Linked DNA regions of Arabidopsis thaliana. The protein of the gene in region 1 interacts with the protein of each later gene in a biochemical or structural test. Each region holds a gene or a part of one and is shown on either strand. Other genes may lie near its edges. The genes, in order: SNF4, AT3G55840, KIN11 and AKINBETA1.

Evidence for each region.
Region 2: the proteins of SNF4 (region 1) and AT3G55840 form a complex in vitro, tested with the Arabidopsis thaliana proteins (one study listed by BioGRID).
Region 3: the proteins of SNF4 (region 1) and KIN11 form a complex in vitro, tested with the Arabidopsis thaliana proteins (one study listed by BioGRID).
Region 4: the proteins of SNF4 (region 1) and AKINBETA1 form a complex in vitro, tested with the Arabidopsis thaliana proteins (one study listed by BioGRID).

The regions. Positions count from the first base shown.
Region 1 is NC_003070.9:2,898,368-2,907,816, reverse strand, and holds SNF4 (sucrose nonfermenting-like protein), read left to right. Parts: upstream 1-2,954; 5' UTR 2,955-3,604; coding exon 3,605-3,729; intron 3,730-3,876; coding exon 3,877-3,964; intron 3,965-4,397; coding exon 4,398-4,574; intron 4,575-4,855; coding exon 4,856-4,978; intron 4,979-5,105; coding exon 5,106-5,165; intron 5,166-5,375; coding exon 5,376-5,465; intron 5,466-5,645; coding exon 5,646-5,780; intron 5,781-5,944; coding exon 5,945-6,089; intron 6,090-6,377; coding exon 6,378-6,551; intron 6,552-6,938; coding exon 6,939-7,002; intron 7,003-7,089; coding exon 7,090-7,159; intron 7,160-7,351; coding exon 7,352-7,469; intron 7,470-7,573; coding exon 7,574-7,668; 3' UTR 7,669-8,041; downstream 8,042-9,449. Other genes in the region: AT1G09010 (glycoside hydrolase family 2 protein), read left to right, coding at 8,530-8,678, 8,917-9,055, 9,145-9,369.
Region 2 is NC_003074.8:20,716,495-20,722,768, reverse strand, and holds AT3G55840 (Hs1pro-1 protein), read left to right. Parts: upstream 1-3,902; 5' UTR 3,903-3,952; coding exon 3,953-5,239; 3' UTR 5,240-5,635; downstream 5,636-6,274. Other genes in the region: LAF3 (Amidohydrolase family), read left to right, coding at 1-85, 179-253, 327-458, 537-652, 729-903; EPC1 (Nucleotide-diphospho-sugar transferases superfamily protein), read right to left, coding at 5,636-5,796, 5,902-5,972, 6,069-6,232. UniProt on the Arabidopsis thaliana protein: Positive regulator of basal resistance.
Region 3 is NC_003074.8:11,127,516-11,135,677, forward strand, and holds KIN11 (SNF1 kinase homolog 11), read right to left. Parts: upstream 4,591-8,162; 5' UTR 4,442-4,590; exon of another isoform or gene 4,294-4,441; intron 3,999-4,293; 5' UTR 3,996-3,998; coding exon 3,803-3,995; intron 3,674-3,802; coding exon 3,489-3,673; intron 3,395-3,488; coding exon 3,212-3,394; intron 3,117-3,211; coding exon 2,985-3,116; intron 2,888-2,984; coding exon 2,702-2,887; intron 2,627-2,701; coding exon 2,537-2,626; intron 2,452-2,536; coding exon 2,368-2,451; intron 2,285-2,367; coding exon 2,144-2,284; intron 2,008-2,143; coding exon 1,777-2,007; intron 1,492-1,776; coding exon 1,378-1,491; 3' UTR 1,105-1,377; downstream 1-1,104. UniProt on the Arabidopsis thaliana protein: Catalytic subunit of the probable trimeric SNF1-related protein kinase (SnRK) complex, a central regulator of cellular energy homeostasis, which, in response to seemingly unrelated darkness, sugar and stress conditions, activates energy-producing pathways and inhibits energy-consuming processes.
Region 4 is NC_003076.8:7,202,370-7,209,734, forward strand, and holds AKINBETA1 (5'-AMP-activated protein kinase beta-2 subunit protein), read left to right. Parts: upstream 1-3,297; 5' UTR 3,298-3,348; coding exon 3,349-3,546; intron 3,547-4,796; exon of another isoform or gene 4,797-4,854; coding exon 4,855-4,965; intron 4,966-5,053; coding exon 5,054-5,229; intron 5,230-5,310; coding exon 5,311-5,473; intron 5,474-5,555; coding exon 5,556-5,870; 3' UTR 5,871-6,127; downstream 6,128-7,365. Other genes in the region: LARP1a (LA RNA-binding protein), read right to left, coding at 1-28, 143-302, 463-922, 1,259-1,510; AT5G21222 (protein kinase family protein), read left to right, coding at 7,053-7,223. UniProt on the Arabidopsis thaliana protein: Regulatory subunit of the probable trimeric SNF1-related protein kinase (SnRK) complex, which may play a role in a signal transduction cascade regulating gene expression and carbohydrate metabolism in higher plants.

The DNA.
Region 1 (9,449 bases):
TTTGAATAGAGAGAGTAATAGGTTCAGAAAAAAAAAACAACCCCGAGACTATGAGGACCACAACCTTATGGGCACACTAAACCTAAAATTTTATATGAATGTTTCAAGATTTGTATATCTTATGACATGCTCGCTTTATGGTTATCTGCAAATGGGGTAGTTTTATATCATCAAATAAATAAGAAAGTTAGAAACAATTCATGAAAGAAAGATGCAGCCTATAGTTTATGTAGAGCTTTCTTGGGACCACTTCTCAACTATCTTATGTTCTTGCTCTAATCAACTAAGATTGAACAAGTAACATATATAAGAGATTAGTTCAAAGAGACAAAAGCTGAAATCACAAACATCAAGATCTTTATTTATCAATAACTATACCAAGATAGTAAGTAACATCCCATAGTACATTTTAAACTATTAGTATACCAATGTAGTAACACGCAATGTTTTGCTATGTACTAATATTAACCTTAACAATGTTATATCTGACATCTATGTACTTAATGATTCTAGGGATAAATGTTTGTTTCCATTGGCTCAAACCATGGAATCGCGGCATTGAGCTCCTGCACAGGCAGGCAGCGATGCCTCGGGAACCATGAGCGCGAATATTTTAAGGTAACAACCAGTACAACCCACATCTGATGTACCCATTGCGAAGGACAAAGAGAAAGATGAAGAGGACAGGTCCATGTGAAATATAATAGCTTATTATGTTGATTTTACTTACAACCATTAAGGTTGCAGCATGGACCAAGAAATATAATAGCTTTATGATGATTTTAGGCAAGTTGCTGAACTTGATTCCTATGAAAAATGAGATGCACGCATGTCAAAAGTTCTTCAAGTGAAAGAAAAGTGCTATTTGATACCATCTTAGTTTTCTCTCTTCAGTTATTAACTATTTGTAGTAGTGGACTATTCGGGAACAACTCATTTCTAATGAAATTTTAAAGCTTGGCATTATGTAAGAACACATATATATTTCAGATTAGGTTTTCGTTTGACTGACGAGAAACAAAATAAAGAATGTGCAAGAAAAATTGGTATACAAATTATTTAACTATTTTTACAAAACTGTGTAATCTTCCAAACCTAATTTCAATGATATTATACTTCTGGTGACGTGAACGTTCTCGTAAAACAAAAAACAAAAATCATCGAAATTATACTTACGGACAAAGAGTTATGGACTATCTATTTTGGAAGGAGAAAAAGAGAACCATCAGAAATTGCCTACAAGAGAACCATCAATGATAAACTCAGATTTTGACTTTTGTACCCGAAAGAGAAAGAACCATCAATGAAACTGCTTGCGCGTTAGTCTCCCAATATTTTTCCCAGCTTTGATGTTTCCTTAAATTCCTTTTTGGGCAAGGTTACAAAGAACTAGGCTATGCTATATTGTATAATCTAAGCTTTTCACTTTGATTGATTTCATATCAAAAAAAAAAAGAAAGAAAGAAGGAGCATATGTGATGTAATTGGAGAGTTGTTTAGACTAAGAGAAAAATGTATTCAGTGGAGGCTAAAGAAATTCTTCTCGAAATCTGATGCAAAACCCATAACTGAAAGAAAAGAAGAAGAAAGAACTCTTTGAATTAGTTCCCGAGCCAAAGATCATATACATAACCAGAATTACGACGAAGGAGTTACGGATGTTTAGGACGAGAGCCAAAGATGTTCTAACAATATGTAACCAAATGAAGACTTTCCAAATATTAAAAAGAGCCCTTATGAGATAAAAAAAAAAAACTTTGTTGGCCTGTTTTTCAATGCCCAAATATAGCGATCAAGATTTTGAGATGAAAGTTATGACCATTAAAGGAGTATATATATCCAATTGTCCATACTAGCCAGCGACCGTGAATGCTGCCCAATAACCAACAAGCCAAAATGACCATTGTTTACAAATGTCTTTCTCATTTGCTGTTTTCCGACAGATAGAGTAAGTGTATATATAGAATAGTACTGAAAGAGAGGGCCGGGGGACTTATATACGTTTTGAGGAAAAAGATAAACAACATTAGAGTAAGAGCGAGATATATACACTTATATAAAGTCATGTCTATAAGAAAGTTCAAATCCAACTTAAAAATATATACTCACAACAAATAAAAGTTACATCACTTCGATTATTTAGAGTTTATAAAACTAATTAGAAACCGAACTCTTTTTTTCTTCAAGGTCGTGTTTTGGTTTTAGGCTTTTAGCCCTAATTTACAGGTCTTTCTAAGGCTAAATCTACTATAAAATGTAATTGCATGCCTAGGGTTCAAACATGAAGTCTCCTCTCCCTCAAATAATGTCAACTTGGAAGACAACACGATTGTCTCCCTGTATTACATGTCTACCGAGAATAGATGTACAATGTAATTTCATGGATTATGTTTAACCCGATAATAAATTGGTGTGGGATGTAATGATTTATTTTCTTTAATTTAAGAAATTATAAGAGTTGACACAATAAAAATTAGAGAAAAAAAAAACATGGCTTTTCTTTTTACTTTATTTATTTACCCTGCTTCAAAACACAAGAGAATAAGAGAAAAGTGTATTTTGAAACGTTTTTGAATGTTAGTTTGGTTTTGTTTGATTTATAGTACTGTTTAACATCAGAAAAGACAAATGAGTTTAAAAAAATAATACCAAAAAAAGAATTTACTAGATACAATTTTAAAGTGGAAATATTTTTAATAACTTGGATCCTCGTCTAATTTATTCATAACATTTATGTGATATATTATATATATAGGAAATGATTTATTAGATAGTTGACTAAAACTATATATTAGATGCTATTATTTGCATAATTCATATAGTTATTTATTATGAAAAAAGAGAAGAATAATCAGTTATGTAAAAGTAGAATTTTTTTTTTTTTTTTAAATGTTATCGGAAAAACTGTATACAGTAATAAAAAAGAGAAAAAAAAAAAAAACCATATCTTTGTCGATGGATTAAAAACAACATTTTCATTACGCAGCGCTTCTTCGCCCTCAGATTCTTCTTCACCTTGAAAGACCATTAACATCATTCCTTGCCCAGATCCAAACAATGCCATCTCCACTCTCTCTATTTAGGGTTCTCTCCAACTTTTCAAATCCCTAATTCTTGCTCCCTCCCTTCAATCAATTCCGATCATCATCGAGGTCTCTCTACTCCCCGAATTTAAAGATCAGAGCCGCGACTTCCTCTGCCTTCTTTTCCTCGGAATTTTTCAGCTACGTTTTCCAGGTGGTGTGTATTGTCAATCAGTTGACCTTTGCTTTTGTAGCCAGATCGTTCGTGCTTTGAGTTTAGGGCTCTTTTACAAGGTTTCGTGTTGGTGGAATTTCTCTACCTAGGTTTGGGGGAAGAGTTCAGTAATTTCGTTGTAGATCGTGATTTGGGCTTTTAGGGTTTCGGTTTACTGGTTGCTGGAATTTATGGTAGCGTTATTGAATTCGGACTCTCTGCATGTGTAAGCGTTGAAGTTTGAAGTTTCACCGGGTTTTGTTTCTTCTGCTGAAGAGTCGAGATTATTTTACGCATTAAGAATCGATTCAGAAGGTTTTTAGGAATTAGTTTCTGTGGATTGTAACTATATAACTACTGGGAGGGGATGTTTGGTTCTACATTGGATAGCAGCCGTGGAAACAGCGCTGCCTCAGGGCAGCTTCTTACTCCGACACGCTTCGTGTGGCCTTATGGAGGTAGAAGAGTCTTCCTAAGCGGATCTTTCACCAGGTGAGATGACTGAGCTTGAACTAGGATAGTTTACTTTATATTTCAGTTAAGCTATTTATCGGGGTTTGTGTAGAGTATGTGCTCTGTATAGTATCTATCGGGGTTTTGCAGTCCATGGACTGATTTCTGAAATGGGCATTTGAACAGGTGGACAGAGCATGTGCCAATGTCACCGCTCGAGGGCTGCCCTACTGTTTTTCAAGTCATTTGCAACTTGACGCCAGGATATCATCAGGTTAATAATCTTGTACTCGACCTGTATCATGGCAAATTCTTTGTTAATTAATCCCTGCAGAAGCATTTATGTCCTTGTAGTGATTTAGCGATGTCCATAATTGTGCTTCATTTAGTCTCTGGATACTTAACCTATGCAATGAGAATCTTATATACCTCTGTCATATTTGTATGACTGTGGCTGAAAATTGCAAATTTCCTTGCTAATTGATCAAAATTTGACTTTATACATCACCATCCACATAACAAAAGTTGGGGTCTTCATGCTGTGTGATACCTAAATCACTTCTTTTAATAAAGGCTACAGTGTGTGTATAGAGATTCATATATTTTGGCAGTTGGATGTACTATATATAACAAGATTTTAATTATTACAATGTGAGATGCTTAAGAAGCCACTAATGTTACATTTATGTTATTTCATTCTCATGCAGTATAAGTTTTTTGTTGATGGGGAATGGCGGCACGATGAGCACCAACCATTTGTAAGCGGAAATGGTGGAGTAGTGAATACAATATTTATAACTGGGCCAGATATGGTTCCTGCTGGTTTTAGCCCAGAGACACTGGGCCGGTCGAATATGGATGTGGATGATGTCTTCCTGCGAACGGTAAGGAATCTGACCTTTCCTTTTCCAAAATGCAGTGTTTATTCTCGCTGCTTGATGGTTCAGGTTTCCCGAGTTGCTTCCAGTTTGGTTTCTTTAATTTTGATCCGTGGTTGGTATCCTTCAGATTATTTTTAACTGTTTGTCATTAGTTCAAGTATAATTGATTTTAGACCATTTTATCTTAATGTATAAAGCAGGATTCCTTAAGTTCCATTAAATTGTCTCTGAGACTACATTCAAATTGAGTTTCTGACTGCTTTCACATGGTGATTATATTGTAGGCTGACCCGTCCCAGGAAGCTGTTCCTAGGATGTCGGGGGTTGATTTGGAGCTTTCTCGTCACCGCATATCGGTTTTATTGTCAACCCGCACTGCATATGAGCTGCTCCCAGAATCGGGCAAGGTTTGGTTTCTTTTTCTTTTTGCTTGATCATTGATAATTTCTGTCTTCATGTCCTATAGATTATCAGTTAAGAATAACCTTTGGCTTCTTACTCGGAAATTGTCTAAGGTGATTGGAAATTTTACAGGTTATTGCATTGGATGTTAATTTGCCAGTGAAGCAAGCATTCCATATACTCTATGAGCAGGTTTACTTTATTTGCCAATTACCCTTGTGTCAGCTTCTGTTCTTGTTAGGATGTTCATCTCTCTGTCTCTCACCGTCATATAAACATTCTAATATTGTTGCATCCAGACCCGGAAAGGGAAGGAAGTGAAACTTAAGTGAACAACATTCGTCTAATTATACTTCGAGATTGTTTGGCTTTCTGGTTTTTGCTAATTCCAGATGCTTTCAGGGAATCCCTTTGGCTCCTCTTTGGGACTTTGGAAAAGGCCAATTTGTTGGAGTTCTTGGTCCACTAGACTTCATTCTAATACTGAGAGAGGTTGGCTTCTATTAAAACTGTTCTTTGCTAGAGCATTCCATCGAGTTACTATTGTATATTCTTAGAATTTCCAAGACGGAAGTCTGGATATCTCATAAATCACATAGTTTTAAATGTTTTACTAGCTTCTCAGTATGAAATTTCACTCTTGAGTATAATAGCAAATTTGTAAAATTGCAGCTTGGAACTCATGGATCAAACTTGACAGAGGAAGAGCTTGAGACGCACACAATAGCAGCCTGGAAAGAGGGGAAGGCTCATATTAGCCGGCAATATGATGGAAGTGGGAGACCATATCCTAGGCCACTTGTTCAGGTGAGATTTTCACAGTTGATTTGTATCGCTGTTACTACTAACTTTCTTCTGTTTGCGTAATCTCTGAACATAGCCTTATCCTAGAACTTTCTATTGCATGTTATATTGAAAAGAGCTAGTAGTATTTCTCTCTTGCTATTAATGGTTTTATATATGGCTATCAGGTTGGACCCTATGATAATCTGAAAGACGTTGCCCTGAAAATTTTGCAAAACAAGGTGGCAGCTGTTCCGGTTATATATTCTTCTTTGCAGGATGGTTCATATCCGCAGTTACTGCATCTTGCTTCGCTATCAGGCATATTAAAATGTAAGGTCCCTTCATTTGTGAATAAGACACTGATAAGCGCGCCAATTTGGCATTTCTCACTTTTTAATTCATGACGTGCATATGATTCTGCTATTTCCAAAATTTTCCCACTTCTTCATTTCTCCAAATTCTGTGAAGGGATGGGATCTTTAGGAGGGAGGGAAATTAGAAACTAAAGTTGCAATTGACTTTACCAAACTTTTTACACAGTTTTCCCTGTTAATAATTCCTTTCGAAATTTATGCCTTTATCAGACACTTAAGCTCTAAATTAAGCATAATCTTCCAGGTATATGCAGATACTTTAGACATTCGTCTAGCTCTTTACCTATCCTTCAGCAACCCATTTGTTCAATTCCCCTGGGTACGTGGGTCCCTAGAATCGGAGAATCAAGTAGCAAACCTCTCGCTACATTGAGACCTCACGCCTCTTTGGGTTCTGCGCTCGCATTATTAGTTCAAGGTAATCCTTTTTCTTATCTTGTTGCAGCAACATCTTATTCAAAGCTCATCTGCAACTCAGACTATCAACCTCTACATTACAATCAGATTTTCAGTTTTAAATATTTTGTCTAGATGGTAATATAATCAAGTAGCTGAACACATGGGTATACTCAAGTCAATGCAGACCAACAAACCAACTTTAGATGTTACGACCACTTTTATTATTTTTATACAGATGTAATTGCTGCAACATGAGTAAACTAACGAGGTTTAAAAACATAGAAACATTTTTGTCAATCTTAAAGCAGATATATTTATAGAATTTCTCGTGATCTTTTCCCTGGTTCCTCATAGATGGAAATGAATGAATGAGTCATGCTTAATTTATGTTTCCTGGTTATTACAGCTGAAGTCAGTTCAATTCCCGTAGTGGATGACAACGACTCGCTTATTGACATATACTCTCGAAGGTAAACCTCTATCCATCAATCGACATGATGTCTTATGCATTCCATCTTTGACGTCCTTGTGTTCTGATGATATTTGTAATTGGCCAGTGATATAACTGCTCTGGCTAAAGACAAGGCATACGCACAGATTCATCTTGATGACATGACAGTTCACCAGGTAAACCTCTCATCAGAAACCAAGATCCATCACATGTCTCATCAAATTACGAGTTTTACTTAAATGTAACCTGCCTATCTATCATGGAAATTGCCTCGTTTCTGATTTATTTGAACATACATCTTTACAAGAATGAAAGAAGAGATGAAACGTTATAATAAAGTGGAGGATAATGTGTTTGTGGGTTTTCAGGCGCTACAGTTGGGGCAAGATGCGAGCCCGCCTTATGGAATCTTCAACGGGCAGAGATGTCACATGTGCTTGCGCTCAGACTCTCTTGTGAAAGTGATGGAGCGGTTGGCGAATCCAGGTACACACTATCTCCTATATACAATCTTCAGCTTTGTTGCTTGACACAGGAACATCAGATGAGATGTAACTGGGGTTTGGGTTTGTGTATATAAAACACAACAGGTGTAAGGAGGCTGGTGATAGTGGAAGCAGGGAGCAAACGTGTTGAAGGTATCATTTCACTGAGCGATGTTTTCCAATTCCTGCTCGGTCTTTGACTCCCACAGCAAAACAACCTCCCCAACCTCTTTTTCTCATTTCCCCTCAATCAAAACTACCCAACAATTTGCTTCTTTTTTTTTTTTTTTTTTTTTCTTCTTGCAAGGAATTTGTAAATTTGCTACGAACCTCTTTCATCATTGTTTTCTTATTATTTTTGTTGTTTTAGTTGAACGGGTTTCCATTCTTGTGAAGATATTGGCTACCGGAATCTTTTACTAGTAGCTTCCCTCAGCTTTTTCTTCCCTCTTTTTTTTTCCATTTTTTTTTGGTTTTGAGTTTTTCACTTCATCGACTCGAAAAGCAACACAGCATGAGAAGGCCGTAGAAGTGTAGGACAATGCACTGGTTGACAAAGATGAATTGTCACCAGCGAGAATAAGCCTTATGGTTGAAGTTTGCAAGTAATGATTAATACAATTACAATCATAACGAATCATAACCTTAAGTACAATAACAAGTAAAAAAGTACAATGACAAGTAATATTCAGTAATGGTTAATCGAGTGATTTGATCATAGCATTATCGATTTCTTTCGGATTTTTCAATAGCTCTTAAAATATATCAATAAAAGTAATACAAAATTCAATCAAATCTAGTGACACTAAAAAAAAATAAAAAAATCTAATGTCATTTAAAAAATATTTGAGCAAAAAAAATAAAATCTAATGTCATTAAAAATAAGTGTTAAATAATTGATGACATAATAAGTGATAGAGAAAAATGTATTTACTCTATTTACTTATTTAGGCTTATCCAGACAATAAACGTTTTCGTTTTTCCAGTCCAACAAGTTTCTTCATCAACTCTCTCAACTGTTTTCGACATAAACATTCCAGAAGCTGAGATCAGATACTAAAATGGCGGAGATCGGGAAGACGGTGTTAGATTTCGGCTGGATAGCGGCGAGATCCACGGAGGTCGATGTCAACGGCGTTCAGCTCACTACCACCAATCCTCCGGCCATCAGTTCCGAATCTCGGTGGATGGAAGCCGCCGTACCTGGAACGTAAGTAATAGTGTTCACTTTCCTCTTCGAAAATTTGAAGCTATTAATAATCAAAGTAAGAACAATTGTTTAAGTATTTGATTTTGTTCGAATGTGTCTGTCAAGTTTGGATTTTGCCTTGATAACTAATAATTAATTTTCTTCTTCTTATGAATCAGCTTTTATTTATGTAAATACCTCTAATTGTTTCATGCATGAATGAGAGATTTTACTGATATAGGATCTTAATTGTGAACAGTGTATTGGGCACATTGGTGAAAAACAAAGCAATTCCGGATCCTTTTTATGGACTTGAAAATGAAGCGATCACAGATATTGCCGATTCCGGAAGGGACTACTACACTTTCTGGTTCTTCACTAAATTCCAATGTCAAAGGGTGGGCCACCCTCACCCTCTCTCTCTCTTGGTCGAAATTGCTATTTTTCTTGTGTCTTCTTTTCATATTTTGTTTTGACGGTTTTGCAGTTATTGAATCAATACGTGCATTTGAATTTCCGTGCCATCAACTACTCTGCACAAGTGTTTGTAAATGGCCACAAGACAGAGCTTCCCAAAGGGATGTTTCGCAGACATACACTTGACGTCACTGATATTCTCCATCCTGAGAGCAATTTACTTGCTCTTATTGTTCATCCCCCAGATCATCCTGGGACTATACCTCCCGAGGGAGGCCAAGGTGGTGATCATGAGGTACACCTCCTCCCTCCTTCTCTCTCTCTTGGAAGTTTATATCACTCTTCTTTCTTTGCGTTGTGATTGGACTATCCATG
Region 2 (6,274 bases), on another chromosome or scaffold:
TATAGGCGACAAAGCAAATGACATGATCCTTGACATGTACGAATCCGTTGCTGCAGCCAATGGAGACCGAGATAGAAGATTTAGGGTGATGTTTGCTATTATAAACCTATTCCTCTGAGCTATTTGCTACGTCTGCTTCTTCTGTCTGTACTTAATATCTCTGAACTCCTGGTCACAGATAGAGCATGCCCAACATTTGGCACCAGGATCAGCCAACCGGTTCGGTCAACTTCACATTGTTGCTTCAGTTCAGGTTAGTTACTTCCCAGCATTAAGCATCTGGCTTAAAACTCACTTTCTTGATCTAACTTAATGCTCGTGAACAGCCAGACCATTTGCTTGATGATGCTGATTCTGTTGCTAAGAAGCTCGGTTCTGAAAGAGCCGTAAAGGAGTCTTATCTATTCCAATCTCTCTTAAATGGCAATGCACTCTTGGCACTTGGCTCAGACTGGCCTGTATGTTTTCGAAAATCTCTACACATATACAATGTTTTTACATATAGTCAAACTTTGCTTCGTTTGTTTTCCCTCCAGGTAGCAGACATTAACCCGTTGCACAGTATCAGAACCGCGGTTAAAAGAATACCTCCCAAGTGGGATCACGCTTGGATTCCATCTGAACGCATCTCTTTTACGGATGCGCTGATTGCGTAATAACCCTCTTCTCTAAGTCTTTCTCCAACATTTTCTCAAGCATTCATCATATTCTTTGTTTGAAAATCGCAGGCAGACGATATCAGCGGCAAGAGCAGCGTTTTTGGATCATCACTTGGGGTCTTTATCTCCAGGAAAACTAGCAGATTTTGTCATATTGTCAACAAATTCTTGGGATGAGTTCTCAAAAGACGTTTCTGCATCAGTGTTAGCAACGTATGTAGGAGGAAAGCAATTGTATCCATGAATCATGATGATGCAGTCTTTATCTAATTAAGAAACAAACTTTACACACTTAGAGTATCTGATCATTTATCTGTTTGTCTAGGCGTTATCAATGTACATATGTATGACATCTGGCTTATCAATTAGATATGCATTTCATATTCAAGGAAAATGTTTGGTGTGTCGGCCAAAGGAAATAGGAAAAGGTGGTTGTTGGTATTTGTATTTATTGGGATGCAAAAAGGTAATGTTGGTGAGTGGCCCAAGCACGAGCCAATGTCATGAACGCGGAGAGAAAAGAAAACCAATGAGCTGTACTAACTACGTGGCTATCTGGTTCCAGCCATCGACTCGGTTTGGTTCCACCACGTGGCTCTCTTAATACTTAGGACAGCCCCATGTGTTGCTTTTTTAACGCGCGATATCACCTGATTGGTCAGCCCCCCGGTCCTAGTTAAAAAGTCATCATGTTCCCTCCACGTAATTTCTGATGATTTTTATTTTTCACGCGAGAGGAGAACCTACGCGTTTGATCTCAAATATCCAAATTCAGATGCAGTTTATTATACAGCTATTTTCCCACGAGAATATATTTCTAGAAATTACCAAAATATAAATCATTTGTTTACAATGTAAAAGAGCATAAAAATTATAGTTAAATATCACTTCTAGTTCTAGTCATATGCTAACATAGTGTATCAACTCGAATGTTTTGAAAATGTTTAAAGATATTGATGAGTTCTCTTATGTAAATAAATAGTTTGGGTAATCACCTCACCGGACCGTTATACTTTCTTTAGGAGATAATGTTTGGAGAGAGACACAAGTATTCAAGCAAAGAGACAGAAATGAAACTTGGAAAGAGTCATCGTAAACGTGAAAGGAAGATAAGATATGTCCTTATGAGTAGCTACAAATACATCCATCTCATTCTCCTTTAGCTGAACTCACACAATGCACATGATGATACAAAAATACACCTAATCAAGAATATTTTATTCATCTTCAGTTTTTAAAATATTTCCCGTGAACTTACAACATATGTTTATCAATTCTTTTAATTCCCGTGAAACCAAACCTTCAAAATATAAGGTTCCCGTGAATTTATCTTCTTGTAGATCCCCTGAAATTAGAACAAATATATGTTCCAGAACATGGAGTTACCATGTATAATGTTTTGTGACATATTTAGGTAACCAAAACCCACACAAAACAGGATAATGCGAAGAGTATACGTCATGAGACGAATGTGTGACACCAACTTATGTATGTGAATGTGTGTACGTGTATAGAATGGAATTGTTGAACTGTCGACTATACAACTAATCTTTGGTGATTAATATATTGTCTCGACGACAGGTGGCTGATTGATCTATATGATGATTTCCAATTTCGATATTGGATTGTTCAATCGAATACGTTCCCATTCGTTTCTATGATCACCACAACTTTTGTCGATGACTTATGTTTAGTGTTCACAAATCACAAACAACAGCTAAGCAATGATTTCCTTTATTTGCTCTCAATCCAAAGTCAAGGTCTCCAGGATTTAAGGAACATTAATACTCCTATTTTTGTTTTAATCTTTAATAATTGTTTTATCTTCTATTGTCAGTAAGTAATTGTTTACTGTAATATGTTTAGTGCCTTCAAGTATGGTTAGAGAGACAAGGAACTCAATAATTTTTATTTTGCCTTTACTTTTCTAAAAACTTAAACCAATTACACATCCTTTTTATGTTTTTCAAACTACTCCTCATATTGAAGTAATCATAGTCGAGATCTAACTTCTAAGGTGTCGACTACACTATAATGTCTACTATAAACTACGATACAAATTAAGTATATGGTTCGAGAGTCAACTAATAACAAAAACCTAGATATTATTATTAGTTGGGATAGACCCGTTTTTAGGTTTTCAAAACTAAAGATTGGATGCTTACTTTTTTTTTTTTTTTTGTCATAACATATTTTAAAATATAAAGAATTTGATAAAGTTTAGTTGGATAGAATTTTGAAAATTTCTCTATTAACTAGGTAAACAAATTTGGTATAGCTGCATATAATTTTCAAAGATCTGTTCTCTTTAAGTAGATACGATAAGAACAAATAACTTTCAAAGATTGAAGAAGATAGGGATTAAATTAAATGTTTTAAATAAACCAAATCAATAGCACTATTATTTTCATTGTAAGTAATAAATAAAATGACACCGACAAAAAAAAAGATTGATTTTTATAATTGAAACGTAACATTCGGAATGTTGAAGTTTACACAAACGGGATTAAGAGATACGGAAAAAGGAAGACCAAAGTCAAAGGCTAGGCTAGGACCCGTTCCACTCTTTCTCTCTCTGTCTTCCCCAAAGTCCTAAAACGCCATCCAAAACGGATTCCGACCAAACCTCATGTGCCCTCTTATTTTATTCCTAATTTAGTGTCCAATTAAATTCATTATCGATTCTACTCCTTATTTTAAACAAAAATCTAATTCATAAGTATATGTATTTATGCAGTGGTAACTATAAGCTTTCAATAAATTGAGAATATAAGTTTATTTGAATTTTTTTTTTTTTTTTTTTAATAATTCTTATCCAACGAATCAGTTATCCAGTGTTTATTAACAAACTTTATGTTAATGTAGGTAAAAATGATACAATATCCAAAAGTACTTATAGTTCGAATAAGGAAAAAAGAACATTTCTAATTTTCTATATCAAGAAAGATTTTTGAATAATTCCCCACCATTAGGGAAAACGTATCGTATAACTGATTGCATTCGAGTATACACAAAATAGTTTCCATTTATTCCAAAATAATAGAAAGAAAAATAAAACCGACACAAAAATGCAAAAAAGACAGGAAACAGCCGTTGTTGTACGTTGACTTTCAAAAACTATGATCTTTGTTTATCTCTAATTTTCCGCATAATGACGTCTCCCTTCTTTTTCCTATCCGTTTCCTTCACATCTCTCTCTTTATCCTTCCTATATATATCGCAAACGTTTTTCCTCTCATTCTTAAATATATTCATCAAATAAACAAAAATCTCTGTATTTTTTTTTAAAAAAGATGGCTGATTTGGATTTACAGAGGAAGATGGTATCTCCGAAGCTCCACGTCACCATTCCTGAGCCGTGTAAGCTCTCCTCCGTCTCTTCTCCAATCTCCTCCTCTTCTTCCGCCGCTTGCTCTGCTTACGAGCTTTACCTCCGTTTGCCTGAACTTAGAAACCTCTGGTCCTCTCTCTATTTCCCTCACTGGATCTCCGAGCCCGTTCTCAAACCAGCTCTTCAAGCTCTTGAGATCACTTTCCGGTTAATCCTCACCGTTGCTTCTGACACACGTCCTTACATCAACCGCCGCGAATGGATCCGACGGTTGGATTCCCTCACTACCAGCCAGATAAAAATCGTGGCGGCTATCTGCGGAGATGAAGACAACTACGAAGAGAACGTATCGGCGGCTCCGGTCAGCAATGGCTGGAGCTCGTTGAGTTTGCTTTCGGAGATCGCCACGTGTCGTACATCGGAGAGTGTTGGACAGAAGATCTTGTCTACGATCGAGAATGAGATGCGTTGGTGTAAGTATACGCTCGGTTTAGGAGAACCAAACCTCGCCGGAAAACCGTATCTTCAATACGACGCCGTTTGTCTCCCGGAGGAGCTACATAGCCTCAAGAACAATCCTTACGCAGATCACATCGAGAACCAAGAGAATCAAATGCTCTACACTAGTCATCAGATTCTTGAATCGTGGATTTACGTTTCTGTGAATCTTTTATATAGAATCGAATCGAGAATCGAAGAGGGAAAATTCGAAAAAGCTTCTTCAGACGTCTACTTGTTGGAGAGAATCTGGAAGCTTCTATCAGAGATTGAAGATTTACACATTCTTATGGATCCTGAAGATTTCTTGAAGGTGAAGAAACAGTTACAAATCAAATCGACGTTTCCAAACGACGCATTTTGTTTTAGGTCAAAGGGCTTAGTAGAGATGGCGAAGATGTCCAAAGAGCTGAGACAGAAAGTGCCAGCTGTTCTTGAGGTGGAGGTGGATCCCACCGGAGGTCCGAGGTTGCAAGAGGCGGCGATGAAGCTTTACTCGAGGAAAACAGAGTACGAGAAGATACATTTGCTTCAGGGAATGCAGGCCGTGGAGTCTGCAGCCAAGAGATTCTTCTTCGGATACCAGAAGTTGGTTGCAGCGATGATTGGGAATGCAGAGGCGAATGCAAATAGAACGGTGGCGAATCACGAGTCCTATGATTCACTGACTCAGGTGTTTATGGAGCCACCGTATTACCCGAGCCTAGACGCCGCAAAGACATTTCTGGGAGAGTTCTGGAGCCAATTGTGATGCAATGGAAGATATTGACACAACTACTTAACAAACACTATCAACAGATGTAACACTACTGAAATTTTTGGAAGCATCTAACGATCAGTGTATGAATATATGTAACTCATTTTTTTTAGCACAAAACAATATTTTCACAACAGCAGATGTTACAAATGGTACAATGAGGGTACAACATACACTAGGCTACTACTATATCTCTTTATAAGCTTCTACGAGAAAACCCCATTAGCCACCGATTATAAACTTTTGCTCTCTATCTTCCTCTTACCGTAAAAGTAAGATCAGTTCTGTTTTTAAGTCTTACTTGGCGTCAAACCCGTCCATAGCTAGAACGTGAAGAGTAGTAACCAGTGGAAGAGACAGCGGAAATGTACTGCCATGCAAAAGCAGCAATCACCAGAACCATAAATTGCGGCTATCCACGGCTTTCATGGAAGTGTATACAAGTGGCATTTTCCCAAATTCTGCCACAAACCGGTTTACGCAGTGTGTTCTTTTTTCTGTGTGCCCTCCTATGCTACTAATTCCAGTTGAACCGATTTCATATATTTTACCTACAAAAACAGGCCAAAAGAGGAGGATATGCTCTTTATCATCAAAGATTATCAGAATCACAAGGCAATACATGGTTCTCAAAGTAGCCTGCGATTTAGAATTACCTTTAACCCATATAGCAGGAGCGTTTGTAGCATTTGCGATGAGGAATGACATTGCAATATCTTCACAGTTCCTGTTATTAAATTAATCTCACACTTAGGTGGGGTACACTTTAATCACATTCAGGAATACAAAAAACAACATATAGGTAATGAAAGTGATAAGGAACCTGTTCTTTGTTGTGAATTCCCTGATTGATGCTGGCATGCTATTTGTGTAAAGGCTGAGGTATTTTTTGTGGAAGAAGGCTGCCTTTGAGAGTACCATGCTATATGTACCACTCCACCAAACAGACCACCATCCACTGTAGGTGTAGTAATTGGCTTTATCATTCTGCAGAAAATTGAAGTCAACTTTCAGAACCAATTCAAACAC
Region 3 (8,162 bases), on another chromosome or scaffold:
TAGGTTTTGCTCTGATACCATGTCAAGAAACTCTTGTTTGTATAAACTGAATCTCTTAGGGTTTTAGGTTACATTGCTTGGTTTATATATAGGTTACAACTTGAGCATAAAGTTAACCTATTCTAAATATCAAAACCGACTAAGCCCATAGGCCCAATATATTCTCCCTCGTCATCTCAAAAATTCAAAGTTGAAGAAACTTATTTCAGTTTGCCCTCAAGCACAAGTAACTTTTAAAGAAGGAATAATCCATGTGATTGGAGAAGTCTTGCGGCCCACGAATAACAAGTGGAAGTGTTTTTCCTTAAATTGGCAGAAATTTAGGCAACCAGGAGAAGAAGGCTATACACACTTTTTCTGCGAAGGTGGCAGAAATTTATGACGGTGTTATGGACTATCATAAGGATACATGTTTTGCTTGTCCTTGGTTGTGTAAAGCTGGTTTCTTCTATGAATGTAGTAAAGAATGATGTTGTTTTCTGCTACACATGCAATGCGCCAAGATTTCTGAGCCACTAGTCCATCCAAGTCATTTGCATCCTTTATTCCTAACAACCAAACCGGGAGAGAAGCGAAGACATTTTTCAGTTTGCAAAGAGCTAGGACATTATTCCAGAAAGGAAACATTCAATTGCATTGAGTGTGACTACTTTTCTTTGTGTTTCAAATGTGCTACATTACCTCATAAGGTAATGTATAAGCATGATAAACATATGTTCACTCTTTCTTATGGGGATGAGATAAGTACAACGATGTATTGGTGTGAAGTTTGCGGTCCGAACCGACTGATGATGAAAAATCAGCAAAATAAATCCGAAGGAGCGGTTTTATGTGTGATGAGTACTGTAGTGTTACCCTACACATTCAATGTATGTTTGGGGTGGACTTATCCTTGAAGCCCGATATATTATTGTCCGACGGCGACCTATTTACTCCTTTTGCAAGAAGCATTGTCCACACAAAGTAGCTCTCCAATGTTCTGTATTAATATCGTGTTCCACATCTTGTATTGATGCTAAGGACTTAAGTTGGGTAGCCGAATTTTGTGAAATGGAATTTTGATGGACTCTGCGTGCAATGTTTTTAGGTATGACATGTATAATGTGTCTGATATAAACGTTGTATAAAATTGGCATCAGAGGAGAAATACAATAGTTAGAATGAAACAGCTAAGTTATGTACACATGATCAAACCTTAAAAACCATCAAAAAGAAGAAAGGATAGTTACTATTACAGTAGAGTTTAACTTAGAATCCAGGTATATAAAAGTAACCCGGCAAAGTAAACACTGCACCCACATATTATATTATGTTCTCTACTATTACAAACCATTGAACATGAAAGAAAAAAAATGTCTCAACAAATGGTTAAAACATTCAGATCACACGAAGCTCTGTAAGAAAGGCGGCGCATAGATCCAAGAAGAGAAACTGCGGACCGTTAACTCTCTGTATATCCAGCAAGTACTTCTCTTCCCGGGCTTTGTATAGCTGTTTCAAAATCAAAAGTGAACTCAGAAAGTGTATAATTGTTCTTCGAAAACAGTTGGTTCAAGTTCTAAAGAAGGTTTTAGTCTATGTCCTAGCTGGTTTAGTTTTGTTGAACTACTACTAGTGGGATAAAACAACATCAGGATCTTAGTCTTTGCTCCAGCACAATTCTACGAATGTAAACCCCGTTGATCGATTCATATCCCTAACAAACCGAACTAGGCAGTTGTTTATTTTCTCCAAGGAATGTTGTTGATACAAATGTATGTGTGAGTTTATAGTTACCTGAAGTTCAAATTTGATGACAGTGGGTGAAGTCATGGCACAGTCATCCTCAATGATGCTGGATTCATCTCTGAAGTGCAGCTGATTGTTGACCATAGTATTCTGACCATCAGCTAAACCAGGAACCCATCGACATTTCATGTTGTAGTGACCAATCTTCTTCCAACACACATTGAGTTCTTGAAGAGCTTTCAAAACTTCATTCATGATTTCACGAGGATGCGCATGAGACTGTTCAAAACAACAAGGTAACAGAATGATTATCGATTTGGCTATGTAGAGGCAAAGAGTACAGATATCTGATTGTGTGTTGCATTCAGAAGACTTTATGGTGAGGAACAAAAAGAATCAGTAATCAGGAACAAACCTGAAGTCCAAGAGCCCATTTTCGATCAACAGGGACTTGTGATCTTGCTCCCAACCCGTAGTGATCCACATGTGCAGGAATCCAGTGGCCTACAGGTGAAGCGCCCGCTTCAGGTGTGCGCATAGGATTGGAACCACTGTCCTAGATGAGTAACGTTGAAAAGGTGAACATGTTAGTCAAAAATGTTGGAAAGCTATCTACTGAGAGGAAAGAAAAACACATACTGTTGTCTCCTGAAACTCGGATTCTAGATAGCCACTTGGAACACGGAACCGGTTATCCAATAACAGGTAGTATGTAACAGTAGCCTGGTACAAGGAGCAAATGGCATTTCAGTGACTATTGGAAACTAGTTTCGGGGATTAAAAGCATTAGAGACAGGAAACTACATACATCGTTTTGTGTTCTGTTGCGTAGAGATTCCAAAACCTGGTTTCTATCAAATCCCATGTTAACCACTTCTTGAACTATCTCCTCATTGATCTGCAAAACATAAGAGATATTGTTACTATCACAGCAAGTGAACTCTATTAATCTCCAAATGGCACTGAAACCAACCTTTTTAGCCTGCTCTACTGTATCCGGTGGAGAGACAGCAAGATAACGAGGGAGATGAGTCTGGAACCAACGGTGTTGACGGATCTCAGGAATGGTGATTCGTTTCACCGGGTCAACTATAAGCATCCTTGGGATCAGGTCTCTAGCCTCAGATGATAAATGACTTGGAAGAGTGTAAATCCCACCCTAAAGAGAAAAAAAACACCTTGATAAGTTACTTCACATACATATGAATCCATTTAAGAAGAGTCTTTTAGCTGAATCAAAGTATAACGTACAGTACCTTAATTTTCTTGAAAAGGTTGGGAATGTTTTCATCATCAAAAGGAAGAGTACCGCATAATAGAGCGTACAATATAACTCCGCAACTCCATACATCTACTTCAGGTCCAGCATATAATTTACCTGATATAACCTACAACAAGAAGTAAGAGATAAGACACTCATAAGAGAAACGAGACATAGTCACATAGGTGAAAAACAATTCAGTAACTTTACTAAACTATATACCTCGGGAGCAGCGTAGTTGGGGCTTCCACAACTCGTCTTTAGAAAATGACCATCCCGCATAACATTACTCAACCCAAAGTCTGCAATCTTAATATTACACCTCGAATCCAATAGTAAATTCTCAGGCTTCAGGTCTCTATGGACAACCATATTACGATGGCAGTACTCTACACCAGATATTATCTATTCGGATATGAGTCAAACACAAACAACACTCAAACTCAAAGATGACATGATACGCTACAAACACACTGGTTATGGTAAAGAGAAAACAAACCTGCTGGAAAAAGTTACGAGCCTCATCTTCTTGTAATCTGCCTTTCTCAACAATATAATCAAAGAGCTCTCCAGACTTGACATACTCCATCACAACATAAATGTCACTCGTGGTCTCTATTACCTCATACTGCCGAATAATATGAGGATGCATAAACAACCGTAGAATCTTAATCTCCCTCCTCACTGTAAAGAAGAAATATACATACATTAAGATAAAAATACATACTAAAACCTAATAAGCAGAAACATTTGATTATCAAAGCTTTTGTTCTAGAAACCACTAAAGCTAAAAGTAACGGTGCTTGTATATACCTTTCTCTTCCATCTCCATGTTCTTGATCTTACGACGATTAAGGATTTTGATAGCAACCTTATGCCCTGTGACAACATGCTCTGCTATTTTCACCTTCCCAAAAGACCCAATTCCAAGAGTTTTACCAAGCTTGTAATTCGGTAAAATCGATTCCACTCCATTATTGCCAAATCTATTTGATGAATGATCCATTTCCTGTGTCCCAATTCAACATCAAACTCATAAGTAAGCTCTCTTAGCAACTTCTCTATAGAAAAACATCAGTAAACATATTAACTTGCTCAAATAAAAAAAAACATTCTTCAACTCAATTTTCATTTCATCAAATCTAATCTAAACCAACCATAAGCTTGTAAGAAAACTGACAAGAACCACCGACATAACTACTTTGTAATGGTGGTTTTGGTCTGAAACCAAACAAGAGACTCACAAGTTTGAGTTTAGAAGACAAAATTGATAAACCTTTACAAAGAAAAAAAAGTCAATTTACCTGAAAAGCTTGTTAATTTCGAAAACCGTCTTGGAGTAGATCCGAGAATCAAAAACCCAGATAAATTGTTCAAACAAAGAGCGAAGAAATATACAGAAACAAGGAGAATCAGATTGATGGGTATAAATAGGGCAGAATTGTAAATTACGATGTAATCTGAAGAAATTCTTGGGGAAGTCAGATTTCCAACTCGTAGGTGACGCAGAGCTGAGTCAGGTTTTTTTAAGTCTTCATGGTGAAAATTGGTAATGACGAATCAAGAAACCACAAAACCCAGATAAACATTTATTGCCATTTGCAAGCCCTTAAATTAGGGCCTTTTTGCCCATTTTCTGTTTTTGTTTGAAAAACTAGTTTTTTAAGGTTTAAAATTTTTATATTACTGTTTTTATGATCTATATATACATTTTTGCAGCCACTTTGTGAAATAAATCCTAGAGTTGGAGTTTATTTACAGTGGCTGCCACTCGCATTTAATAATTGTTTTTGATAATTAGAAAGAAAATCTTTAAATTAAATATTTGACAATCTTCCCAAAATCTTTCCACATTAACTACACGATTAGTTACTAAAATAAAACTTCCGAAATATTTAATATCATTTAATTACTACAAAATTATCATTTTTGATATTGTTTTTCTACATGACTATAATAATTCGATTATAATCATCAAACCGCAGAGATATTAGATAGCATTTAATTACTACAAAATTAAAAAATATTTAGACAATGATTCATAAACATATCATAAATAAAATCAGTGAATTTTTTTTACGGGACGGATTGGCGGGACGGGTTTGACAGGACGTTACTTAATAACAATCGTAAACTATAAAATAAAAATATTTTATAGATAAATATAATTTGCAAATTTTTATATATAGTAACTTTAAAAAATAAATTGTCTCCGCGGTATACCGCGGGTTAAAATCTAGTTTTCTATATATAAAAGCGTGCTAATGATAAAGCGGATAAATTAAGAAGTTTCAGACGCATTTTATTATATAAAGTAGAGTTTTTAAAGTTAATAACTCAACTGATCGTGACACGTAACAAGTCAATCGTTCATATGTTGATATTGTGTCGGATTTTTTTTTACTTTTTTCCTAAAAGAAATAGGCAATTTAACAAAAACAAATATTTACATATACTAATTTATATGTCTATATCTAAAAAAAATAAGTTATAGTTTACTTAACTAAGAAGGGAAACTAACAATAAGATGGAGTGTATAGAATTAAATTGTATTTGTATTGCAAAATCGAATTGTATTTGAAATGTATACAATCAAATTTAATTGTATTTGTATTATAATAAAATAGATATTTAAATTGTATTGCATAATCGAGATTTTTTAAATATTTTTTCTAAAAGAAATAGGAAATTTAACCAATAAAAATACATACACCAATTTATATTTCTATATCTAAAAAATTTAACTTAAAATTTTCTTAACTAAGAAGGAAAACTAACACAATAAGATGGAGTGTATAGAATAAAATTATATTTGTATTGCAAAATCAAATTGTATATGAATTGTATGGAATCGAATTAAATTGTATTTTTATATAATAAAATAGATATTTAAATTGTATTGCAAAATCGAGATTTTTTAAATATTTTTTCTAAAAGAAATAGGAAATTTAACAAAAACAAATACATATACCAATTTATATTTCTATATCGAAAAATTTAACTTAAAATTTTCTTAACTAAGAAGGAAAACTAACACAATAAGATGGAGTGTATAGAATAAAATTGTATTTGTATTGCAAAATCAAATTGTATATGAATTGTATGGAATCGAATTAAATTGTATTTTTATATAATAAAATAGATATTTAAATTGTATTGCAAAATTGAATATGTAAGATTGAAATTTGGTTTAAGGAAATACTAAATTAAATACTGAAAAGTATATGAATTATTATTTAAAATTTAAATATCATCAATAAGATGGATGTAGTCTATAGAATTAAAACAGTTTATTAAGATAAAATAGATAGTTCAAATGTAGAATAATTGCTGAGAATGCCCTTTTCACACTACCTTTTTCAGTTATACCCTTTCATATTTGACATTTTCATTTCTACTTTCAGTAAATTTTTAATGACTATTTTACCCTTATTTGGAAATTGTTTTTTGCCTAAAATATTCCAAATAAATTTCCTGCCAATAAAATACCATAGTTTTTGTTTTTGAGCATTTTTTTTAATACACCTTTTACACAGAATTCATTGTATATACTCGTATATAGCTTTCATTGTATTTAACAACTGTATAACCATAATACAGTACTGCTTCCAACTGTACAGTATAGATACACCGTATAAGCCGTATTTTAGAACACTAGTGTTTTATAAATGTATGTGGAAAGTTGAGCCTAATAGTTAGGCATGTCAACTAGAGATAATGCTCGTATGCTGGCCTGGCCTTACTCTAAAAACAGCGAATTCGGGTTAAATATATATATGTCTTGAAAAATTTGCTCTTTTAGACTAAATGTTTTTGGAGCTTAGTCCGGCTAGGATCGGATCGGACAAAAAGTCCTACATAAATATTTTGATATTTGTTTTGTTAAATATTTTTGTTAATATGAAAATTGTTTTACAAAAAAATTTGAATTGAAAAACCTAAATCTAGTTTTCTAATTGTGCCTTACATCTTTGAAGTATTCTGATTTTATATTTTTATTTAGTATAAGTTTAAACAATTTATTGGATTATTTCTTTGTTTTTAAACTTTTTCTTTCCTTTTTTTTTGGTTCAACAAAACTTTTATTTTAAATTAACTTAGTTTTAGTGGTTATTTAAATTTTGATTGACTCATGTCATACATATGTTCTTTCTTTTTCAGAGATATTATAAATTATAAGTTTGTTTATTCGAAATAAAAAGCCCGGAAAAGTCATGTAGCCCTATTATGGTCAAATTGGGCTTTAAAATATAGGATTAGAAGTTTTATGGACCGGGTCGGTCTCGCTCTAATATATGTAGGTTTGTATGTCTTAATTGCATATTTCTATATACTTTATCTTGTATAGATTTGTATCTCTTAATTGCATATTTTGATTGAAATTTCATTTGAATAATTGAGTAGAAAAATCATAAATTAATTTGAAAAATATATATATAAGTAAACTAATGCAAATCTGTAAATATTCTAATAAATGTTAGGTGTATAATTAAATGGATTGAGAAGCTATGTGAGAACGACATGTTAGCATGACATTTTCTTTAATTACACATGAAAATAAGGTTATTTCTAAAAAGTATTTCTCAATTAATATATAGGGGATTTAGAATGTTGTTCAAAGTTCTTACCAGCTATATAATAAGCTCGACTTTGGTTTTTCTGTTCGAAATCTCAAAGCACCAATTTATAGTCTAACTAATTAGCTCTTAAAATCATTCGATCAATTATTTAAACTTTATGTGATTTGTGTTATTATATTTTGAACTCGATAAAGCAAGCTACTTATGAAGATAGCTAGTGAAGAGGTAAATAAATTTTCAGATTCTGGGGTAGAGTTAGAGGTTTTTCTATTCAATGACATCCTTTTTCTACAAGTTTTGTTAAATAGCGGTATGTATAAAATGACTACATGTGAAGTTGATGTATAAAACGGTCATAATTTGAAAATTAGAGTATTGAATGACATATTTCCCGTTTTGGTTACGGTAAAACGATGTCGTATTGGGAACTAACGGAGACTAGTTAACGGCTGTTATCGAGTCTGTTACGCCAGATAACGTCAAATGGATTTTGGCCTAGTCAACGATTAAGTCAACAACGTTCCACATAAATGACTCTTTTGAGCTCTAATTAAAAACGGATGACAAAAAAAAAACGATTAAATTTGTGTAAA
Region 4 (7,365 bases), on another chromosome or scaffold:
GTAATGATCATTCTCAAGGTTTTCATCACTGAAAAGGGAATAAATAAACGGAAGGTAATATGAAATTTCAAGAGCCACAATAAAGGATAAGCTGAACATAATTATAATCACAAAAAAATTGATGTAGAGAAGCATAACTTGCCTGAAATAATACTCTACTTGTTTTAAGACTCTATCCCTTAAGTCGAGTTTTTCTGGAGATAGTATTGGAGGACCCTGGTTTACAGGGTATGGAGCAAAGCGTGGAGGATAAGGACCTCTTATAGCTCCAGGGGGTGGACCCGGCAAGTAGTATACAGGCCCTGTGTCAAATGAAGAAACAAAAACAGCACTCATGCATCAAAAACCGACAGTTATCCTTTATCCTAATGCTAAATATATTCAAGAGCAACAGAATTAAATTTTTATCAACTACTCTCAGCCAGTCCCTTTAAACACATTGACAAAGAATCAATATCTTACCAGGAAAGCCTGGACCTGGACCAACCAGGAACCCAGGAGCTGGACCCATAAATGGAGGTCTCCCGAAATTTCTTGGTCCAGCACCTTGTGGCATGTTTCTGGGGTCAAAACCCCTCTGATGCGGCCAAGGCTTTCCAGGATCCCCTTGAGGAGCTGGCAACACAGGTGGAAGAGGGGAAGCTTGAACTTGCTTCTCATTGCCAGACTCAGTAACAGGAGGCACAGGAACCGGGTAGGGAGGATAAGGTGCATATGGAAAATCTGGACCAGCAGCATGTGGCAGAGGCACCATAGGTGGAAAAGGAGGTGGATGATACGGTACAGCATGCACGAGATAAGGAGGAGGAGGAGGACCATTCTGGTTGCTCCTCGGACCTGGTTTTGAATGACGGCCAGATGGATTCTTGTGTCCAGGATTAGCCTTTCCACCACCCTTAGATTTCGCTTGACCAGTTACGGCCTAAACAACAAAACAAAAGAGCTTTTATGAGCAAAGCTAAGGCTACAAATTCAATGCTAAACAAAAGACTTTCCAATCACACTATAAACCTTTCAAGCCAAGTAAAAGAAAATCACGACAAATAAATAAACGTCATAATCATCATGCATCAAATTCGATCAAAGATTCAATATCACCAACTTAAACCAATCACGAACACAACTGATATCCAGTATCAGATAACTCTCAGCTCTACCAAGTACCACGCACCATTACAATCGGAAAATTAATACTCAATTAAAGCATAATCAAACAACATTGACAAATCAACGGAAAGAAGTCGGTTGTTTGACTAACCGGAGTAGGGATTGGGATAGACGTCGGAATGTTTTTAGACGGCGGAGCAGGTGCAGGCGCCGGAGGATTCTTAGGACGCGGTTGTTGGGCAGCGTCGGCGAGTGCAGGCCACGAATGAGCTCCCATTACAGGAGCGTCAATAGTCTCAACAGGAGAAGTCGTTGTTTTCCACGGAGACTTAGTCCCAATACCACCTTCACGGGTGATCAATTCTCGATCATCGGCCACTGATCCTTCAGTCTCCGCCATCATTAGAAACTTGGAAAGATAAACAGAATCAAAACAAGGAAGCGATTCAATTGGATCAAAAACAGAACGAGGATTGAAGGATCAGATGGAGAAGACGCAATGTGAGGAAGAGAGGTTGAAGAAGGAGGCAAGTGTGTGTGTGTGTTTTGGTGGCGACACTCTTTAAGGGAGGAATAAGCGAGGATGAAACAAACAGTGAAACGTATAACCCCAAAAACCCTAGTTACTTTCCTCTTTTTTTATATGTATATGTTTATTTTATATAGCAATTTCCTATTTTTCCTATTTGAAATTTGACAAAAAATAAGAATAATATTCATGATTTGTTTAATTACTAGTATTACAAATATCCTCTAATCTGGTCTTTATCCTTCGTAATTAAAAACATTCAATTTATTTCTTTTTAATTTTTGTTTTGAGAAAACATCATTTATGTAGGGTTTTAAAAAAATTTAAATTAACTTTATAAACTTATTTTCGTTAGACCTATTTATAACGCGTTTATTTATTAACCTTAGTTTATGTCCTTAAATAGATGTGTTAGAATTTGTGTAGCAATTCTAAGTTATTTTGTACTTTTAATGTGATCTAACAAACTTTTGTTACAACTAAGGATTAGTAGTTGGTAAAAGAGAACGAAGATAACTAGTTATCGCTCTTATAATCTCTTTATTGTTTTATTGTTTAATTCGTTTAAGTTATTTAATTATAATATTTAGTCTTTTAAAAATACGTGAAAAATTATCTGAATTGTTAATATACATATAATAATTTTTATATATATGATGGATATTAACGATGATTTCTGAGGTGAAAACTATTATCTTAATTTTTTTTTTGGGTGAGGCTATTATCTTAATTCTTCAATATGTGAACCTACGAAGAATAAAGTAATTGATGAAGATTTGAATGAATTTTTGTCTCTGAAAATGACATTTGAAGGTGTCTGTGGAAGATTTAGTGTCCACTAGATAAGATTTCTAAACAAAAGGTCAATATATTGATGAAAATTGAAGTGATTGAAATCAAGTTTTTCCAATGATAGTACACTCGTTTGAAGAAAATATGAGGTTGAATCAAAACCTTAGTTCAAAGTAAATGATAAAGCAAAAGCTGAAATCTTACAATTTGAAAGTGACCAATATACAATGCGAGAAAGCAAAAGAAAAAACAATGACTCAACCTATAAGGAAAGTGCATGACAATCACTCATGGCTTAGTGAATAGTGACCATCGCCTTTTACAAGTTTACATTGGCTTTGAAACCCTCCAAACTTTTCGAAACAATCTTTCGACCAATAACTAGTTTACGGGACTAACCAATACAAATCTTGGAAAATGATGATTCTTTGACCATCTCTATTCTAACCCCACCTATTGGAGTTTAAGGCCTTTTCATCGTCACGATACGCATACTATGATCACTGGCTCTAGCAAGATGTTAAGGCACACAAATCGGTGGCAAGGAGGTGACTGGCCCTTGTGTCATTATCCTTCTCAAAGGCATTGAACCAACTTTTTATTCACATTTGTTTATTATATACTAAAAGAAATAAACAAAAAAAAAGTGGATAATTATAAACTTTTGGACGCCAAGTCACTCGTTTATCCATTTGGTACGGATTTTAATGATATCTCTCTCTCAAGAGCCCCTTTTATGCAAAATCTCTTTTTCGCTACCAATGGCATTATTCGTAATTAACTTCTAACTTGAGGGGCGTTTCATTATCTCCTCCTCGTCGTCCTCCCTCCATTTTTCTTCACGTCTGGTTTTCTCTCTCTTTTCCTCTATCTCTCTCCTCTCTTTGTCTCTCTCGCTTCTGTGATTTGGGCTTTTTCAGATGGGAAATGCGAACGGCAAAGACGAAGACGCCGCCGCCGGTAGCGGTGGTGCAGATGTTACCTCGTCCTCGGCGAGATCTAATGGCGGCGATCCTTCTGCACGCAGTCGTCACCGTCGTCCTTCTTCAGACTCTATGAGCAGTTCTCCTCCCGGAAGTCCTGCTCGATCTCCATCTCCTTTCTTATTCGCTCCTCAGGTTCCCTCTCTCGAATATCTCTCTCTGTTTAATCGTTGAATTTGATTTCTGGTTTTGAATTGAATCGATTGAAACATTCGCCCAAAGAGATAATAGTAAGAGAATCTTTTTGATTTGTTTCGTTGAGTAAGAGAATGTTCGTTCACTTGACTTTTCATTTGTTTCACTAATTGTGAGACACTTTCTTCATTTAGATAGGATCCAAGTACAAAATCTCCAGCCTTTTTTTTATGAGTGAACTCTACTTGTTCACTTGATTTGTGTTATCCTGTTGGTTCTTGAGAATTTGTAATGTAGATTCTTGTTCTTAAAGCTTTTTTCTGAGTTGGGTTTAGAGATTCTGTACTAGAGAATCTCTTTTATTTTTGTGTTATCTTGGTTCAGGTATCTTGAAATAATGCATAATGTGGAAAAGTTTCTACCTTTCTTTAAGATGTTGTTTTGGTTTCCTAGCTATTTTTTCTTTATTTTCCAGCCGGTCTCTAGTCATTTACTGGTCGCTCATGATTCTTGATGTCCCTTAGTGAGTCTTTGTGTAATTTATCTTTGTTTCATTGTGAAGAGGGCAACTTTGCAGACTAAGTACGTTTGTGAATGAAATCTTTTGTATAAAGGAATTAGACTTGACTTGGTTTTGTTTGGTTCTTGAGAAGTCAAAAACTCTGGTAAATGACAAGGTAGCTAGTTACTCTTCCTTAGTTTTGGTGGAGAGAGAGAGAGAGGCTTAGATCACCTTATTGCTATGTCTTTTCCTTTTGGTGAGTTAAAATCTTGTTAATCATACTAGAGAATCTGCTTTAGAGAAGGTCTTATTTGTCTTCTGATTATGCCTCCATGCCTGGTGTGGAAAAGCGTATGGCAGTCAAATAGGATGATTATTGTCTCTCTAGGTTTTTATGCTGATTTTGACTTTCCTGCTGCTCTCTGGTCATTTACCAGTTACTGATACTGTTCTGTTGATTTGCATGTCGCATTGTGAGTCTTTTGTGTAATGTCTTTTGCTTTCATTTTTAAGAGGAGGGAGGGCAAGCTTGTTCTTTTCTTCGCCCTTTTTGAATTTAAACACGCAGAGCTTTTACTTGAACGAATTACAGATTTTGGATGTTTCGTCATTCTTCTCATTGTTCTTAATATGTGAATAATTCATAAGATAAGTGAAGGACAACCTTCTAAAATTGACCTTGTTATCAGGTTTTTGTGGGAATAGTGAAATATCTTTTGCTAATAAGGTCTTGTCTGTACTCTGTATGCGAGTAAATTTCTGAGTCTACTGTTGCTATATTCATTTTCGACTCCTTTTCTTTTCAGCCCACATTGTTATTCCACGTTACATCTTACAACATTTGCTCACCTATGCGTCACCTCTTCCATTGTTTAGGCTTAACATGTGTACCTAATGGCTGCATTTCGTGTCGGATGGTAGATATAATGTTTTGACATTCGCAAATTCTTCTTGCACATTGGTTTGTAAGATCTCACGGCTCAGTGTTTATGTGGATATTCTCAGGTTCCCGTGGCTCCATTGCAGAGAGCAAACGCCCCTCCTCCTAATAACATCCAATGGAACCAATCACAGAGAGTTTTTGATAATCCCCCAGAGCAAGGAATCCCTACCATCATTACATGGAACCAAGGAGGTAATGATGTGGCGGTGGAAGGATCATGGGACAATTGGAGATCAAGGTATAATTGACTTTGTTTCTCGTGGACCCTCTCTCGAGATTTCGTGATATATGTTAAAAACAATATGTTTACATTCACCAGGAAGAAGCTGCAGAAATCAGGGAAAGACCACTCGATTCTCTTTGTCCTTCCATCTGGCATATACCACTACAAGGTGATTGTGGACGGTGAATCCAAATACATCCCAGATTTACCCTTTGTAGCAGACGAAGTTGGCAATGTCTGTAACATTCTCGATGTTCATGTAAGTTACTTTCCCACCTCTTTTTTTCTCATGTTAAATCTATCAATCAGCTTAACAGTATCTGCAATCATTATGCATGCAGAACTTTGTGCCAGAAAACCCAGAAAGCATAGTGGAGTTTGAGGCGCCACCATCACCTGATCATAGCTACGGTCAAACCCTACCAGCCGCAGAAGATTACGCGAAAGAGCCACTGGCGGTGCCACCTCAGCTTCATCTAACACTTCTTGGCACTACTGAAGAGACAGCCATAGCCACAAAGCCTCAACATGTGGTGCTTAACCATGTGTTCATAGAGCAAGGATGGACTCCTCAATCCATAGTAGCTTTGGGTTTAACCCACAGGTTCGAGTCTAAGTACATAACTGTTGTCCTCTACAAACCGCTCACACGGTAACCCTAAAAATTCAGTGCCACATTGTTCTCTCTCTTTCTTTCTTTTTCATCTCTCAATTATGTGAAAACATGTTCTTTGTTCATAGTGACTAGTGAGTGCCCAACATTTGAGTTTATTAACCTCTTTCTTACCTGGTTTGTGGTGCTTGTGTACAAAGCTTCTCTCATTGTAACGATTGTTGTTTTATTTTCTGCAAAAACTGTAAAATACATTCGCTAATAATGGCTATAACAAGCTTATCTGCTAGCAACCAAACACATAAATCCTGTTTTTTTTCTTCTTCTGACAAAACGTTTGCGAAAGTGACAAATTTTTGAAAATAATCTTTCTTTTTGGTATTGGAAAAGGCTAACCAGTTTGAAAGTGTACTCATAATAAATCCACGTCGTCTATTTGATTGAAAATTTTAATTTGGATAAGAAAAAGATAAAAGAGAAATAAGGTGAGAAAAAGTGAGCCACACGATGGAGTATGGCGGAAGAAGCATCGACCGAGTAATTGAGACGCTCTGTTTCCAATTACTACTCTCTCGAGCTCCTCCGCTCTGCATTGTCGCCGAGAGTTCCTTTCTTGTCCGACAAACTACTTCTTCTCCTTCGATAAGCCAATTCTGCGCCATAGATTTTTGAAATCTACTGCCGGAAAGGCTGCATGCGATTTCAACTCCCTTTTCCCGGGACAATTCGCAGGTGTGTATTCCTGAAGCTCCGTTGTACTATACTACTATTCCATGTTTCACTTCGAACGAAGAATCAATCATTCGGTAAATTGGATAATTTGGTCACTTGTTCATGACCTGTACATAATCAAATGTGTAGGAGGACGATGATGAATTTGTAGCATGAACTATCGACGTCATGATTCTAGAAATTTATGTTGGAATTAAAGGGCCCAATGAGAAACATACCCAACAATTTATGCTGTTGCTGAAAAGCTTTGCCATCGCATTGTGGATTTCAGCTGTTTTTGCCTTGTCTTTATCACATTTGACGCCATAGTACTATTTGTGTGTATTCTCGTATTTTACAGTTTCTTTGTCCCTTTTGCATTAGTTTCTGTGAATTGAGAAAAGAAACACTCTGTTGCCTGCACTGTTGGGTTCTTTGGAGATAGAATTCTAACATTGACATTACATTTTCATGAAACAGCTTGTGAAGAAGATCAAGAGGTGAACTCTGAGTGATGAGTGAGCCAAAGGTCAGGCGTTGGGTTGGCAAATATGAGGTTGGAAGATTGATCGGTGAATGTAATTTTGGGAAACTGCGGAGTGCTGTTGACACAGAGACAGGAGACCCTGTGGCTTTGATGATCCTTGATAAAGACAAGGTTCTGAAGCATAAGATGGCTGAACAAGTAATTCGCTTTCCTAATCGGCATTTAGTTTTTTCATGCCTCCTTTCTTGTCCATTGATATGCCCATGTTACATTTCTTGAAGTAAAACGTGGTTTCTAAAAGCGAGATTCACAGATAGATCCGTCTTCTGTCCAGAAGTAT